Drosophila melanogaster: one gene and its partner. The protein of the gene in region 1 purifies or fractionates together with the protein of each later gene. This does not show direct contact. Each region holds a gene or a part of one and is shown on either strand. Other genes may lie near its edges.

Region 1 (7,235 bases):
GTTTCAATTACGAAAACCGCTCGCAGCGAAGACACGCACTAATAAACAAAGGCCAGCAATAACAGAATAACGAAAAAGTAAGCGACGGCTGGTATCGCTGCCGAGGGAAAACTGAAGGAAAATGTGTCGAATGAGTGGTACCAAGACCAAGACCAACCAGCGAATGTGTTCTGCCTCTCCCTCTCCGCTCTCGCTTTCTCACTCTTTGTCCGGCTATTAGCTGCTCTCTGGCTTTTCCGCTGATGAAAGTGCTGGCAATCGAATGCAACTGCCTCCCACAAGCGACTGAATGCGTTGCATATGCCAAGGCGCACGTTGAGTCCACGAGGAACGTGTGAAAGTGGAACGCGCCAGACTGGAGTAAATTTTGAGTGAGTACAAAGTGCACTTTCGAGTGCCCGGGAACGAGTGGAATTGTGCAACACCTGTGCAAAGGGGATTGTAAATGGGGTGGCCAGCACTATTCTTTCTTTATCGCCGGAAAAACGGGCAGTCGAAATTTTAATTGGGTTTGTCCAACTTACGGCACACAATTCAATTGAACCGCTCCCCCACTCGGGGCTCATTAACCTGGAGGGTTGGAACTATATCGGTGGGACATAAACTCGTTACGATTGCCTTGGTTTTTCGTAGGGTAGTTGCTGTTCTAGAACTTCCCTAGGGTTCATTTTTTTACGCACATGTTGTTTCATTTTCTCCGCTTTTTATGAGTTTCTAAGCTAACATCAATAAACTAAAACGTAGTGGTGGTATTCCAATTTCAATACGTGCTAGCTGTTCTAATTAAAAACGTAAAAATGCTGAAAAGTCAAAGCAACTTTAATATTATAAAGCATGAAGGTAAAATATCAATATAAATTATAGTAATACGGCTGCAATGGGGCTTATAAGGTATATTGGATAGCAATCAATACAATGGTGGATCAATGCATGGGAGCTTCCATTAATGCCGTATCAGAGTTCAACATAATTATAATTTGTGTCCCTCGTGGCACGTTTACATTAGCAGGGCATCTGGGCACCATCAACAGCTGACACAGAAACACTTTTACTGGCTGCACTTTGTAAAATGGATCTCTCGGCGGCATTACCTGAAAGCGCTCCCAAAAGATGCCATTCTCGGTCCGTCTACTGTCATCCGGCATGGAGATGATGACGCAGCTTAAGGGCGGCTGTACACCACCAGCTCCACAGTCAACCTCACCCCGCAATCCCGGCCAGATTTCCCCTGACAATGACTGGCACTCGTTCACGGACTCCGGGGCTGACTTCTCCGCCGCCAGCAGGTGTTTCCATTAACATCGGGACAATAAAGGCAGCGCACGCACTGCAATATGCAACAGTTGCAGACACGCAGGAAAAGCGTTGGAAATGGGAAATATGGCTGGCTGTGGGTGGTAGGTGGTGGGTGTTGGGTGCTTAAACGCACATTTGTAAGTAGTTGTGTAATCTATCCATGAACGTCGCTTCCGCTTTGCATTTTATATGCTCAACGCATCGTTTGGCCGGCGCAAATTGAGTTTCGTTGTCGTTGCTGCTGCTGAAATATCTGCTCTCGGATGGATAGATGGATGGATGGATAGATAGATGTCTGGATGAATGCCTCGGATATATCCCTTTTCCCCACAGCCATCGATTGGTAATGACGTTTGGTAGAGCCCACCCACCTTTAGGTTCATCCACTTTGTGGCTTAAGGCAAGAACGAGCATCAAGCCAATTAAAACTTCTAGCCCATCAACTTAATTAAGAAAAGGCCGAAATTATGCGACTATCATAAAAGTGCGGTGAACGTACGGTATCAAGAAAGATTTTCCTAATTGGTAAGCCATAAATTGTATTAATAAATTTTATTAGTTATACACCTGCTTAGAACGAATAACCTATGTATTTGCCAGACGTTGTAAACCGTTTTCAACGCTTTAATATGCTTTTAGATGCGGATTGTTATTTCATTATACAGATGTTAACATCCAGAAACAGTCCGTTTTAAGGATTGGGACTAGCAGGTCATACATAGTAACATGTTCAAGTATTGTTTTATATGCGTCATTCTAGCCTGGGCTTCTCGTGATGTTCTCGCTAACAAAACGGAAAATCCGCTGCTAATTGATCAAGTGGCTATAAATCAACAACAATGGTTCACATTCATTGCGCTGAAGGAAAGTGAAATGCAACAGAAAATAGTGAGGATCGAAAGATCGATAGAAGAACGATTGATGGCCATGCAAAGCAAGTTGGCATACGCACTGAACGAGCTGCAGACCATAATGGGCAACCAGAGTGTGGAGACTCTCGAGAAACTACGAATCTCGCACAGGATTAATCCGGCGCTTTTCCAGAGAATGGGCACAAGACGCTTCTACATTGAGAAGGAAAACAAACAAAATTGGTTTGGCGCCTCAAACACCTGTCGTCAATTGGGCGGTCACATTGCCACCATCAGGGATGAGCAGGAGTTTAATGAGATCTTCTCAAGAGCGCCGGCCGGCGTCTTTTGGATAGATATGAATGCTATGTTCAAGAACGGCCTTTTTGCATCATCACTCACCGGCAGATCGCCGCCGTTCTTTAAGTGGAAGAAAGAAGAAAGGGGCAATAAGTTCGATTGCGTTAATGTATACAACAAGGAAATGTACAATGAAAATTGTTTCAACACCCATTTGTTCATATGTCAAGCCGAGCAGTGGGATTGATGCGAATGCGAAAATAATAAATTAAGTTATTTTCATTTTGCATCTCGGCAATTTACCGACAGCTTTTAATAAAGTTATGAGCCTACTGTCTTTTTTATTTTACTAGCCCAAAAATGAAGTACATAACTGTTTTCTCAGCCAAGAGGATCATTAAGATTATTGGGTAATGAAAATTAAAATATTTTCCCTTAAGTACAAAACCAGGCCAATCCATATGGGGTTTCCATCAAGTGCCCAGAAAGCGGTGCTTGGTATTTCAAAATGCCTTACACACATGACGTGTCCACGTTCTGTGCAGAAATAAGGGCGGCCAGTGCCACGCCCCTCCACAAGGAAGCCACCCAAATGGTGACAAAAATGCTTTTGATTTGTGGGCCATTCGCACACCCATAGCCACCCACGCTTATTAGAATCCTGCCATTGTGGCAGCCAAAGTGCAACTAGCAGAGACAGATAGCAAACATCCAACAATGTGGAGCAGAGCGCAATTTATGACCAGGGGCGAGATTTCGAAACGGACTAATAGGATTGCGGCTCCAATTTTTGGGGCTTTTCATTTCAGATACCTCCGCACATACGATGCAAAATTATATCTCGAGTTTTCACTTACGTTATTATACGCTCTAGTGTGCAAGTCTTTAGTTTTTCCAATTATTACTATTCAATAATACTAATATACCAATATTGTATTTTGTTATAATAATAAGATGCTATTACCGTTACATTATTAACAAATGGGTAGTTGGAATTCCCCTTTCAAAAATAAAGATATAAAAAAAATCGATCTCTATGTTGTAGGGAACTAGTTCATTGAGATTAGTTGCAGAACTCATTGGAATTATTCAAAACTCATTATTCAAAATATAGATAAATAAATATAGAAGATATATACTTAAATGTGTTATTTTGGAGTGACTTCAGTTAAGTTCGAATTATTTAATTGAATTTACCGCGCATTAGTGTTACCATTTTACACTTACACCATCAAAATATTTCTAGTATTTTCAATCGGTCGTGAACTGGGCAATGAAAAGCCATCTGGCAACACTGTTCCATGACGCTTGAATTTTAGCGGACAAACTCGAAAAGAAATAGCAAAAAGACGACGCTTGCTACGAAAATAGTTATTCCTCGCAAAAACCCTGTAACGTGTAAACAAAGGCCGCTGCCACGATGCCGCGCACCAAGATACCAAAGAACTCCAAACGCAACCGCGAGGTGGCCAATCGCGAAGAGAAGGTGCGCCTGTACGAGCTGAAAATGGATTCCCGCCTTATCAGCATCGATTCGCTGGAGACCAAGTTCCTCTCCGCCGTGGACCACCAGGTGAAGACACTGCTCGGCCAGGTGCAGAAGGAGCTGGCCAATCTGAAGATGCCCGAAGTGCTGCGCCTCTTCGAGGAACTGGACCGCTTCAGCGACTTCAAGGCCAGCGATCAGACGCAGCTGCTCGCCTCGATGTCCATGAGTGGCAGCGCCATCGAGGGCCACGCCCCCTCCGCCACTGGAAGTCGCAATGACGAAGGTTTGTTGGCCTATATATGTATGCTGTTATACCAATCTGCTGGCAAGGATGTCATCACCCGAATTACAAATGAATACCGGTTTTACATGCCAAATTGGCAAATTCCATTGTATATTCGGTATTCATCATACCCTCTTGTTGCCATTTTCACTTTTAATTTTAATCTAACTGGTGTCCGGCTTTGTGACTAACTCAACTTTGCTTTCTAACTCCGCACCGCACATTTCAATGCACGCAAAATGCATATACCCACATCCACATCCTGTGCCGGTCACTGTATCTAGGCTACCTTACAGAGGACAGCAGCATCGGTGCCAGCGGTGGGAGCATCCTGGCCGCCCACACAGGCTCCCTGCTGCGGTCCACGAAGGCCATGCGCACACCCGGACCACTGCACTCGGCGAGGGCTCGTCGAGCGCGGCGCAGTCGTTCCGCCTGCGGGGATCTCAACATATTGCACTCGGCCAAACCGCCGTCAATTTCGAGCAGCAGCAGCAGCAGCCGCAATTCGCGCAGCAAACTGCGCACACCGATGGCCTCGCGTGCGAAGGCCTTCAGTGCCGACCGCACTCCTTTGAAACAGAAGCAAATGCGCTCCGGATCGCCAACTACACCGCCGATGGCATTCCTGCGCTATCCCAAGCCCGGCGAGGTGGCACTATCCAAATACGGCAGTCCCATGGTGGCTCAAGTGTAAGTATTGATCACATACTACGTGTCGATACCAATTTGTTAAAACCATTTTTCCCACACGATAGAATGCCAGACAAGTTCGCCAATGTGAACATACCCATTCGGAACGGAGTTCTTAGCTTGCGGCCCAAAAAACTGGATGCCGACGAGGTGGAGTCAAATCTGTTGGAGAACCTGGACGAGGACACCCTTAACCAGATCAAAACGCTGCACGAGAACTTGCAGATGATTGTTAATAAGGCCAGCCAGGCGGTGTTCAAGTAGCTGTCATTTCAAACGCTTATCTAGATATAATGCTATATCATATATTTTAATACGTTTCGTTTAAGTTCAGTTTTCATTTTACTCATTTAGTTCAAGTATTTTGTCTTTATTCATAAAAATCTATCGTATTTGCATAAGTTTCAATACATGTTCATATCCAAGTGTACGGCGATTTAAATGTAATGTTTTAAATACATGCTTAATCCAAAAAAAAAAAAATGAAGCGTTCCATGATGATTACTCGCCTTCAAGCAAAACGACGGAGAATCGAAAGAGATGAGAAAGTGAGAATCCAATTTAATTCTGCAATGGATAAAGTCGATGAGATGGCCAAGTTGTTCAAGCAGGATGTGGACAACAAATTGGGTTTGCTTCAAGCCAGGACTGATGCTCGTTTGCTGCAGATGAAATGGTCGGATTTCATGGCTCTAGCAAAAACTGCTACCTTCAAATAACATCTTTCTTTTGCTAATTGCAAAAGAGGCAACCGCTTTTAAGTTCCCAGATTTCAGAAAGTGGCCAATAAAATTATGTTATGTTAAAAATGTTTAAAATGTATTTTCGCACGTTGATATGAATACAGTTTTGAATCGCTTGTTCACCAAAGAGCCCTTTGACTTTGTTAGAATTAGGCGATTAGTTGACTGGAATATATAAATCGTTAGAAATATGCCTCGCACCAAGATTACAGCTCGTCGTCAGGCCCAGCGCCAGAAGGCTGATCGCGAAGAGAAAGTGCGCCTGTCCCAAATCAAAATGGATTCGGCTCTGGAGAAGATCGATGAGATGAGCAAGCGCTACAAGCAAGAGGTGGACAACCAAATTAAGGTGATCCGTGGTAGGACTGATAAGCAGCTACTGCAAATGAAGATGCCAGAATTCTTGGCTCTCGGGTTTAAGACTTTTGCCGAATTTCAGAGGGCAGGTGAGATTTAATTTAACTGTCGGCAATAGAAGAGTAATTGTTATTTTTGTTTTACTTTCTTTCCAGCTATTAAGCCGCCCACAACTCGCAGTTTGTCCATCAGTCGTGGTCGAACACGAACTCCGCAGAATGCCCTGCCACCGAGGCTTCAGGCGCATTCGGTGGACAGGGCTCTGAGTGGCGACACCATGAGCTTTGTGCGATGGCCCCGCGCCGGAGAGATGGTGCTCTCGAAGGCGGGAAGCCCGCTGGCCGTCCAGATGCGTCCGGATCGCTATGCGGACGTCCACATTCCCACCAGGGGCGGCGTGATCACCGTGAAACCGCACAAGATCAACACCGTGAAGCGGGAAGTACTGATGCAGCTGGATGAGAACACACTCAACCAGGTGAAGACACTGAATGCCAATCTCGGATTAATTGTGGACATGGCCAACAAACTGGGCAAATTGAAACCGTAATTGCTAGCTATCATAGGAAACTTTAAGAACGCGTCTATTACGCTTATTTCGTTAATATTTTATTTAGTCTTTTTCATTTTCTCATTTTCAATGTTTTTGTTCAGTTGTTAAACATTAAGTGAACGTGTCTGTTGTTCTTGTTGCTGTTTGCTGCTTTTTGCTTGCTTCTTGTTGTATAATTAATTAATAAATTTAATTAATTGTATGTATATATATATATATATATATATCGATTTGTAAGTACAAACATAGCGTACAGAATACCGTCTCCACTAACATTAAATTTAATTGTTTAAACATTTTTCTATTGTGTTGCATGTGTGTGTTTTGTGTGTCTGTGGGTGAACATTCTCAATTATGCTTGTAAGTATAGTACTTAGTTAAATTAAAGTGTATTGTGTTTTCATTGAAATGAAATTCAAGTGAAACTTTACTTGGTTTCCTAACTTTTCAACTTCACTTTCAGTTGTGTGATTCCTTAGACAAACGTTACATTTACACATATACAGATTTAGTTATTAAAAATTATCATTAATTTTTAGTGTGTATAGTGTTAAATTTAGCATTTGTTTCTTAGGTTTCCCATTTGAGTGTGAAATGTGAGTGGGAGTGGGGCGTGTCGTACGCGTTTATATAGTTACAGATACATAAAAATACAATACATAGCAAAAGG
Region 2 (6,804 bases), on another chromosome or scaffold:
AAATATTTTTACTTTGAATATAACTAGACTACACTGTTACTAAGAATAGAAAAAATGCATTTAAAAATTTTAAGAAGCAATAAAATAAGAGTCGAAAATATGTTGTAAATTTAGTGAATTGTTTAATTTGTAATGCTCGAAAACAGCAAGTAATTTATTTAAACTTAAAGCTAAAGTTAATCCGGAGCCCCAAGTGCCACAATAAAAAACATGAAAGCTTTTTCTGTGTTTCTATACAAATGTTGACTATAAATTAAAGCTTATGGCTTCAAGCACCACACTCTTAGCTTCCTTTAACAAATGGTATTTATTTTACCAAAGACGTTAAAGAAGCAAATTCATTTACTTGTCGATCAATTCAAACAAATTCAAATATATTTTCGAGTATGTAATACATTATAATCATTTTAAAAGTTATTTGCCATGCTTTATGAAAGCTTATTTTCATATTTGCGAATGCTGTAATCAAAATTCATTTTAAATTCTGTCAGTTAACTTTGTACACACTTTACCACTAATTATAGAAACAGATACAGAAATACATAACAGAAAAAACCTTTAAAAACACAATTATAATTAAAAATATTCAAAAAAAGACTGAGTCATGAAGAGAGTCCATGTGGACAACTACACACCGAAGTACTATAGTGGCAAGTGGTCCTGGAGCGCCGAAAAGGATTGCCTGGAATTCGAGCCGCACAACGATCTGGAGAATGCCAGGGAGCGCTACATCACCACCAATGGCTATAAGTTCCTGCGCATCATCGACCAGGAGGAGGAGCTTATCTTCCGGCAGGCTTACGTGCGGGATACGGGCACCTATGACTTTGACACCTTGGTGATCAACGACATCCGTGACCTGGTCCTCTTCCTGATGCCCAGCGATTTTCTGACCTACCGGTTCGTGGAGTTCATGCACCGCCCGGCGGTTCACCGTCTGATCCATGCGCTCATCATTTATTTCGAATACTTTCTGCGTATGGTGGAGTTTGTGCTGGTGCGGCGCGACGAATTGGCCGATCAGATCCAGAGCGATCAGACCATCGATATGAAGAAGACATTCTCGATCTATCTCAGTCAGTATCGCCTCCTGGTGGCCCGCAACTACAGTGTGATTCTGAAGGGAGAGGGCGATATGGCCAAATACTACCATATGAAGGAGATTATCAATATTTCGGATACCAGTCGCGACCGCGTCTTCCACGAGCAGTTTCTGGCCGTGATGACCCAGATTGTTTGGATCTGCATGCATCGCCGTGCGTACAATGTCATTGAGATGGAAATGAACCGTCTGTTTCGTTCCGATCACTTTGTTATGGCACGTCCGGAGTATCTGAGCTTTACGCCGGCGGAGCGCAGTTTACTGTACGGTCGGAACCATAAAATCGTTAACTATCGCACCCAGATATCGCCGCTCGTCCAGGAGTTGGAGCACGTGGCGGAGGAGGACATGCCCATCCTGTGGATTGGCGAGCGAAAGTACCGAGGCAACGACAAGCGCATTGCCGAGATGGAGCTGGAGTACATTGTGCCGGGACCACAGCTGCGTATGATCGATGTGGCACACGGCATACTGGGACATCCGAAGGATCTGTACAACACCATCCTAGACCTGGACTGGCCCACAGTTCGCTACTCAAACTTTTCGCTTGGCTACGATCCGTACCACATCATTCGCCAGCCGCACTTGGACATTCCCAAGATCGACGCCTTGAAAGCGCGCAAGATGAATGAAAACTACGAGCATTTCTACAAGGTGTATCGCATCTACGAGCCGCACAGCGTGCAGATCCTGCAGAAGTGGCTCAAGCGGGACAAGCTCGTCCAGTTCTATCGCTCCGGGGGACTGCTGCTCACCAACGTGGTATCCCGGTGCGAGAAGGAACTGGCCGAAAAGGTACCGGTAACCAAGGTCGACCAGGTCATATCCAATTACTTTAAGGTGAAGTCCAGGCTGCGCAAGGGATCTCCATATGAACCGGACAACGTTAGCATCACCTCCTCGCGGATCGGGGGCTTCAATTCGCCGCGCCAAAAGAAAACGCCACAGGAATACTATTTCGATTGATTTGAGGTCGTACACATCCATTAGGTTTTCAAGAGACTTCAAATACTTCAAAATTATTTATTCGTGAATAAAATACTTATAAATCTTGAAAGCTTGGCAATATTGTTGTTACTAATATTGTAGGATATTACTAGTATTTTTAAAAAATTGTATTGGATTTTTAAGGTATATATTTCCGCTTTAAAATGCGAACCGTAGACTTATCGTTCCCAGTGTTTCAAATGGCAGATCAGCTGATCCCCAGATAAGGCTATCGTATCAAAATCTGTCCACCTCGACAGCTCTGTGCAGTAGTTGCTCGATAGACACGGTTCAGTAGAGATCTTCTTCCGACCAGAATCATGTCCGCTCCGCCATATCGTCATTTTACCCAAATTGGGGATCCTGTTCTGCGCCAAAGGGCAGAAGAGGTGCCGCCCGAGGACATCGATAGTAGGGAGATCAACCAGATTATTGACGGCATGGTAAAGGTGTTACGTCACTACGATTGCGTGGGCGTGGCTGCGCCCCAAGTTGGAATACCGCTGCGTATTATCGTTATGGAATTCCGAGAGGGAAAGCAAGAGCAATTCAAGCCGGAAATCTACGAGGAGCGTAAGATGTCCATACTGCCCTTGGCCGTAAGTAAAGCTTTTCTTTTCGCGTTCGAAAAATATATGTAAATCTATGCAGTTTTATAAACGTATGAATTTGAGAAACTAAATTTCTGCATACAAAAATATTGCTTATGTGCAGCAACAATCCCGTGATTTCTCATCATAAATCATTTGCTTGCAGGTCTTCATTAATCCGGAGCTGGAGATAATCAGCAGCCAAGTAAACAAGCATCCCGAAGGTTGCATGAGTGTGCGAGGCTATTCCGCTGAGGTGGAACGGTACGATAAGGTCCGGATCCGGGGGATCGGCAAGCTGGGCACTCCGTCGGAAATGGAACTGGAGGGCTGGAACGCACGGATCGCCCAGCACGAGGTGGATCACCTTAATGGAACTATCTACATGGATAGGATGGATCTCTCCACCTTCAACTGCATCCTCTGGGAGCAAATCAACGCAGCTGAAGGTCGATCCGCCATTTGGTTTCACAAGTAATAACTTGGTTGCATTTAATTCAAGGAGCTTTTCACTTTTTTATGGCGCTTTATACAACATATTTGTATATTGTTTGAAAATAAAATACACTTCTGAAATGAATGCGCTGTTTACGAAATAAACTTTGTGTGCGGGGAAAAAGTATTTTATGCACCTAGCATATATTTAAAAGCGCGCCAAATATCAAATCTATTTCCACCGATATATCGATAGGTACATACTTTCACATCCCTAGCCGGTCAGCTGGCCAGTATGACCGTGTTGTGTAACTATATTCCCTACGATTTTGATCGGAATATTAAAGGAGGCTAAACATTTCACAAAATGCACCTGAAACCACGGATAAAAGTATGCCAAGCGATTCTGGGACATTGTCGATCCTTTGGAACGAGTCCTCCCGCTAATCAGTCGTTCAGGAAGTGGTACCAGCACCTGTGGACCACGGAGCGCACAAACTTGCCGCCATACAACCATTTCACCCAGATTGGTGACCCTGTTCTTAGGCAACAAGCGGCTTTGGTGCCCAAGGAGCACATGGCTAGCCCCGAGATTAAGGCCATCGTCGAGCGGATGGTCAAGGTGCTAAGGAAGTTCGACTGCGTCGGCATTGCGGCTCCTCAGATTGGAGTATCGCTCAGGATCATAGCAATGGAGTTCAAGGGACGGATCCGAAAGGAGCTGCCCGAGGCCGTTTACCAAGCCCGACAAATGTCCGAGTTGCCACTGACTGTGAGACTGGGGTCCTAACTAGCTGTGTTCGGAAGCCCAAACCCTATAATACAATGGTTTGCTTCTTACAGATTTTCATCAATCCCGTCCTGACGGTGACCAACTACGCGAAGCTGAAGCATCCAGAAGGATGCATGAGTGTGCGAGGTTACTCTGCCGAAGTGGAGCGTTTCGAAGGTGTAAAGCTAACAGGCCTTGACCAACTAGGAAACCAAAGCGAACTGGCTCTGAGTGGTTGGAATGCCCGGATAGCGCAGCACGAAATGGATCACCTGGAGGGAAAACTATACACCGATCACATGGACCGCTCAACCTTTGCGTGCACCTGCTGGGAGGCGGTTAACACGAAATCCGGACGCGTGGAGATACCCTTCTACAAGTAGTTAAGTCGCTCGTGGATCGTTTCACTATTTATGTATGTATATATACTGATTGAATGGAATTCTATCTGGCAAATGTTCCTCTCGACTGGTTTTAGTCCATTGGTTTGGTGGGTGCACAAACCCGTAGATTGTGGATGGCCGCCCCAAGCGCAGACTTGGCCTTGAAGTACTCCTGACTGTCCCACAAATCACTCTTGTCCATCATGTAGGCAAGCAATTCTTGGTACTCCCGCATCAGCAGACGATGGGTGGCAGCCGTCTTCAACTGTTGCATCTCAAATAGCTCGGAAAGAGTCGGCAGGTCCTCAAGCTCTTGATCACTCGCAGTCTTCAGCCTAATATTTTCGTGCTGGGTTCTCAAAAGGCAATATTCATTATACTGCTCTCGCAGACTCTTGCCAAGATAATTGAGGACTGCAGTGCGCAGAATAAATTGCCGTATGACCGGATCGGCATTAGTGCGGCGGAACATGCTTAGCACAGTCCGGGAAACACCGGTCACCTAAATCAGCGTGGTACCGGAAAATACAAATTCTGAGAATACAGATTGACAGAAAAATCACGCCCTTGGAAATTATTGTATTTGGTCTTTTAAATAATCGGAGTCGCTGCAGCATCTAAATTTCAGTCTTTTTGAGGAACATAAATATTTAACTCTCAATGTAACGACACTGATTTTTCACTGCTTTTGACTAAAATACGATTTTATAAATTTATACCATTATTTACTGCCAAACGCAATGAAGCGCATTCATGTGGATAACTACGCCCCAAAGTACTATAGCGGCAAGTGGTCATGGGACTCGGAGAAAGACTGCCTCCACTTTCAGGCGCACAACGATCTGGAAAACGCAAGAGAGCGCTATATTATGACCAATGGCTACAGGTTCCTGCGCACAATAGACCAGGAGGAGGAGCTCATCTTCCGACAGGAGTATGTGCTACCGAAAAGCAACTATAGTGACGTTGTGGTGGTCGGAGATATTAGAAACTTGGTTCTCTACCTTATGCCTTCAGAATTTCTAACCTACAAGTTCGTTGAGTTCATGTACGAGCGGGATACGCACTTGTTGCTTCACTCCCTGATTATATACTTTGAGCACTATTTGCGACTGGTCGAGTTTATACTTATACGTCGGGATGAGCTTTCCGGTCCCCTGGGTCAGGTGCAGAGCGAGCAGACCAACGATATGAAACGAACCTTTTCGGTATACTTAAGCCAGTATCGTATGCTTGTTGCACGAAACTACTGCCGCATCATCGGGGGCGAGGATAATATGTCCAAGTACTACCACATGAAGCCGATTTCCAACATTTCAGCAACAATCCACGATAAGTTTTTCCATGAGCATTTTCTGGCAGTGGCCATCCAAATAGTCTGGATCTGTATGCATCGCCGGGCGTATTACGTAATCGAAATGGAGATCAATCGCCTTTTCCGCTCCGAGCACTTTGTTTCCGCCCACCCAGAATACCTCGAGTTCACGGAGGCGGAGCGCAGTCTTCTCTACGGCAGAAACAAAAAGAACTACAATTATCGAATTCAGGAATCGCCTCTAGTCCAGGAGCTAAAGCTGGTTCCTGAAGAGGATTTGCCCATTTTGTGGATAGGCGAACGCAAGTACAGAGGAAACGATATCCGCATTGCCGAGATTGAGCTGGAGTACATTGTGCCCGGTTCGCAGCTCAGCTTTATAGATGTATCGCACGGCATCATGGGCCATCCCAAGAGCCTCTACAACACGCTTCTTAGTCTCGACTGGCCGGCTGTCCGCTTCTCAAACTTCTCGGAAAAGTTCGATCCGTACCATATAATCAGGAGACCTCACCTGCAAATACCCAAGATAGGTGAGCTTCAGATGCGTACAATGAAAGAGAAATATGAACATTTCTACAAGCTCTGTAAGGTTCATGAGCGGGTCACACACCATCAGATCTGCAAGTGGGTCAAACGAGACATCAACATAGCCTTCTTTCGGTCCGGAGGTCTACTCACGAACGTAGTCTCGCGTTGTGAAAAGGAGTTGGCAAGCACATCTTCAGGACAAAGGGTCGATCAGATCATCTCCAACTATTTTAAGATCATGTCCAAAATACGCAAGGAGGATAGAGATCCGGAGCATGCATCATCTACGCGTAGTAGTATTGCATCGCGATTTAGTGTAGGCAAGGCAAAGCGGTAAAAAAAACTACCTAATTTTATACGTTAATTGCAATTTTTGCATATTATTATATATACAGAAAATCGGAGCTTTAAAGCACTGACACTTATGGATTGCTATTTTATAATAAATGCACGAAGACGAAAGACATTGGCATCCGATCAAGGGTATGGGTTTCGTAGGTGGGAGCTTGGGAATAAAACTTCACTTTAGGCCTTTAAACATGAGCATAATTCCACTAAACTTCGTCACGTACACATCAATTTAAATACACTTTAAAAACACTAAACACAACCCGATCTTGGTTTATCTGCGCGACTACGATGAAAAGAGTCCATGTCGATAACTACGCTCCAAAGTACTACAGCGGCAA

Evidence for each region. The genes of interacting proteins can lie anywhere in the genome.
Region 2: the proteins of borr (region 1) and CG31278 purify together in Drosophila melanogaster (affinity purification with mass spectrometry, with the first as the bait; one large-scale study listed by BioGRID). This does not show direct contact.

Annotation. Positions count from the first base shown.
Region 1 is NT_033779.5:9,249,619-9,256,853, reverse strand, and holds borr (borealin-related), read left to right. Parts: upstream 1-3,735; 5' UTR 3,736-3,867; coding exon 3,868-4,219; intron 4,220-4,503; coding exon 4,504-4,912; intron 4,913-4,977; coding exon 4,978-5,176; 3' UTR 5,177-5,382; downstream 5,383-7,235. Other genes in the region: lectin-30A, read left to right, coding at 2,023-2,694; aust (australin), read left to right, coding at 5,846-6,101, 6,168-6,562. UniProt on the Drosophila melanogaster protein: Component of the chromosomal passenger complex (CPC), a complex that acts as a key regulator of embryonic mitosis.
Region 2 is NT_033777.3:10,704,940-10,711,743, reverse strand, and holds CG31278 (uncharacterized protein), read left to right. Parts: upstream 1-3,403; 5' UTR 3,404-3,481; coding exon 3,482-3,886; coding exon of another isoform or gene 3,887-3,897; intron 3,898-3,957; coding exon 3,958-4,269; 3' UTR 4,270-4,346; downstream 4,347-6,804. Other genes in the region: CG14689 (uncharacterized protein), read left to right, coding at 605-2,068; CG31373 (uncharacterized protein), read left to right, coding at 2,410-2,688, 2,846-3,157; CG14684 (uncharacterized protein), read right to left, coding at 4,361-4,741; CG31467 (uncharacterized protein), read left to right, coding at 5,010-6,452; CG31391 (uncharacterized protein), read left to right, coding at 6,755-6,804.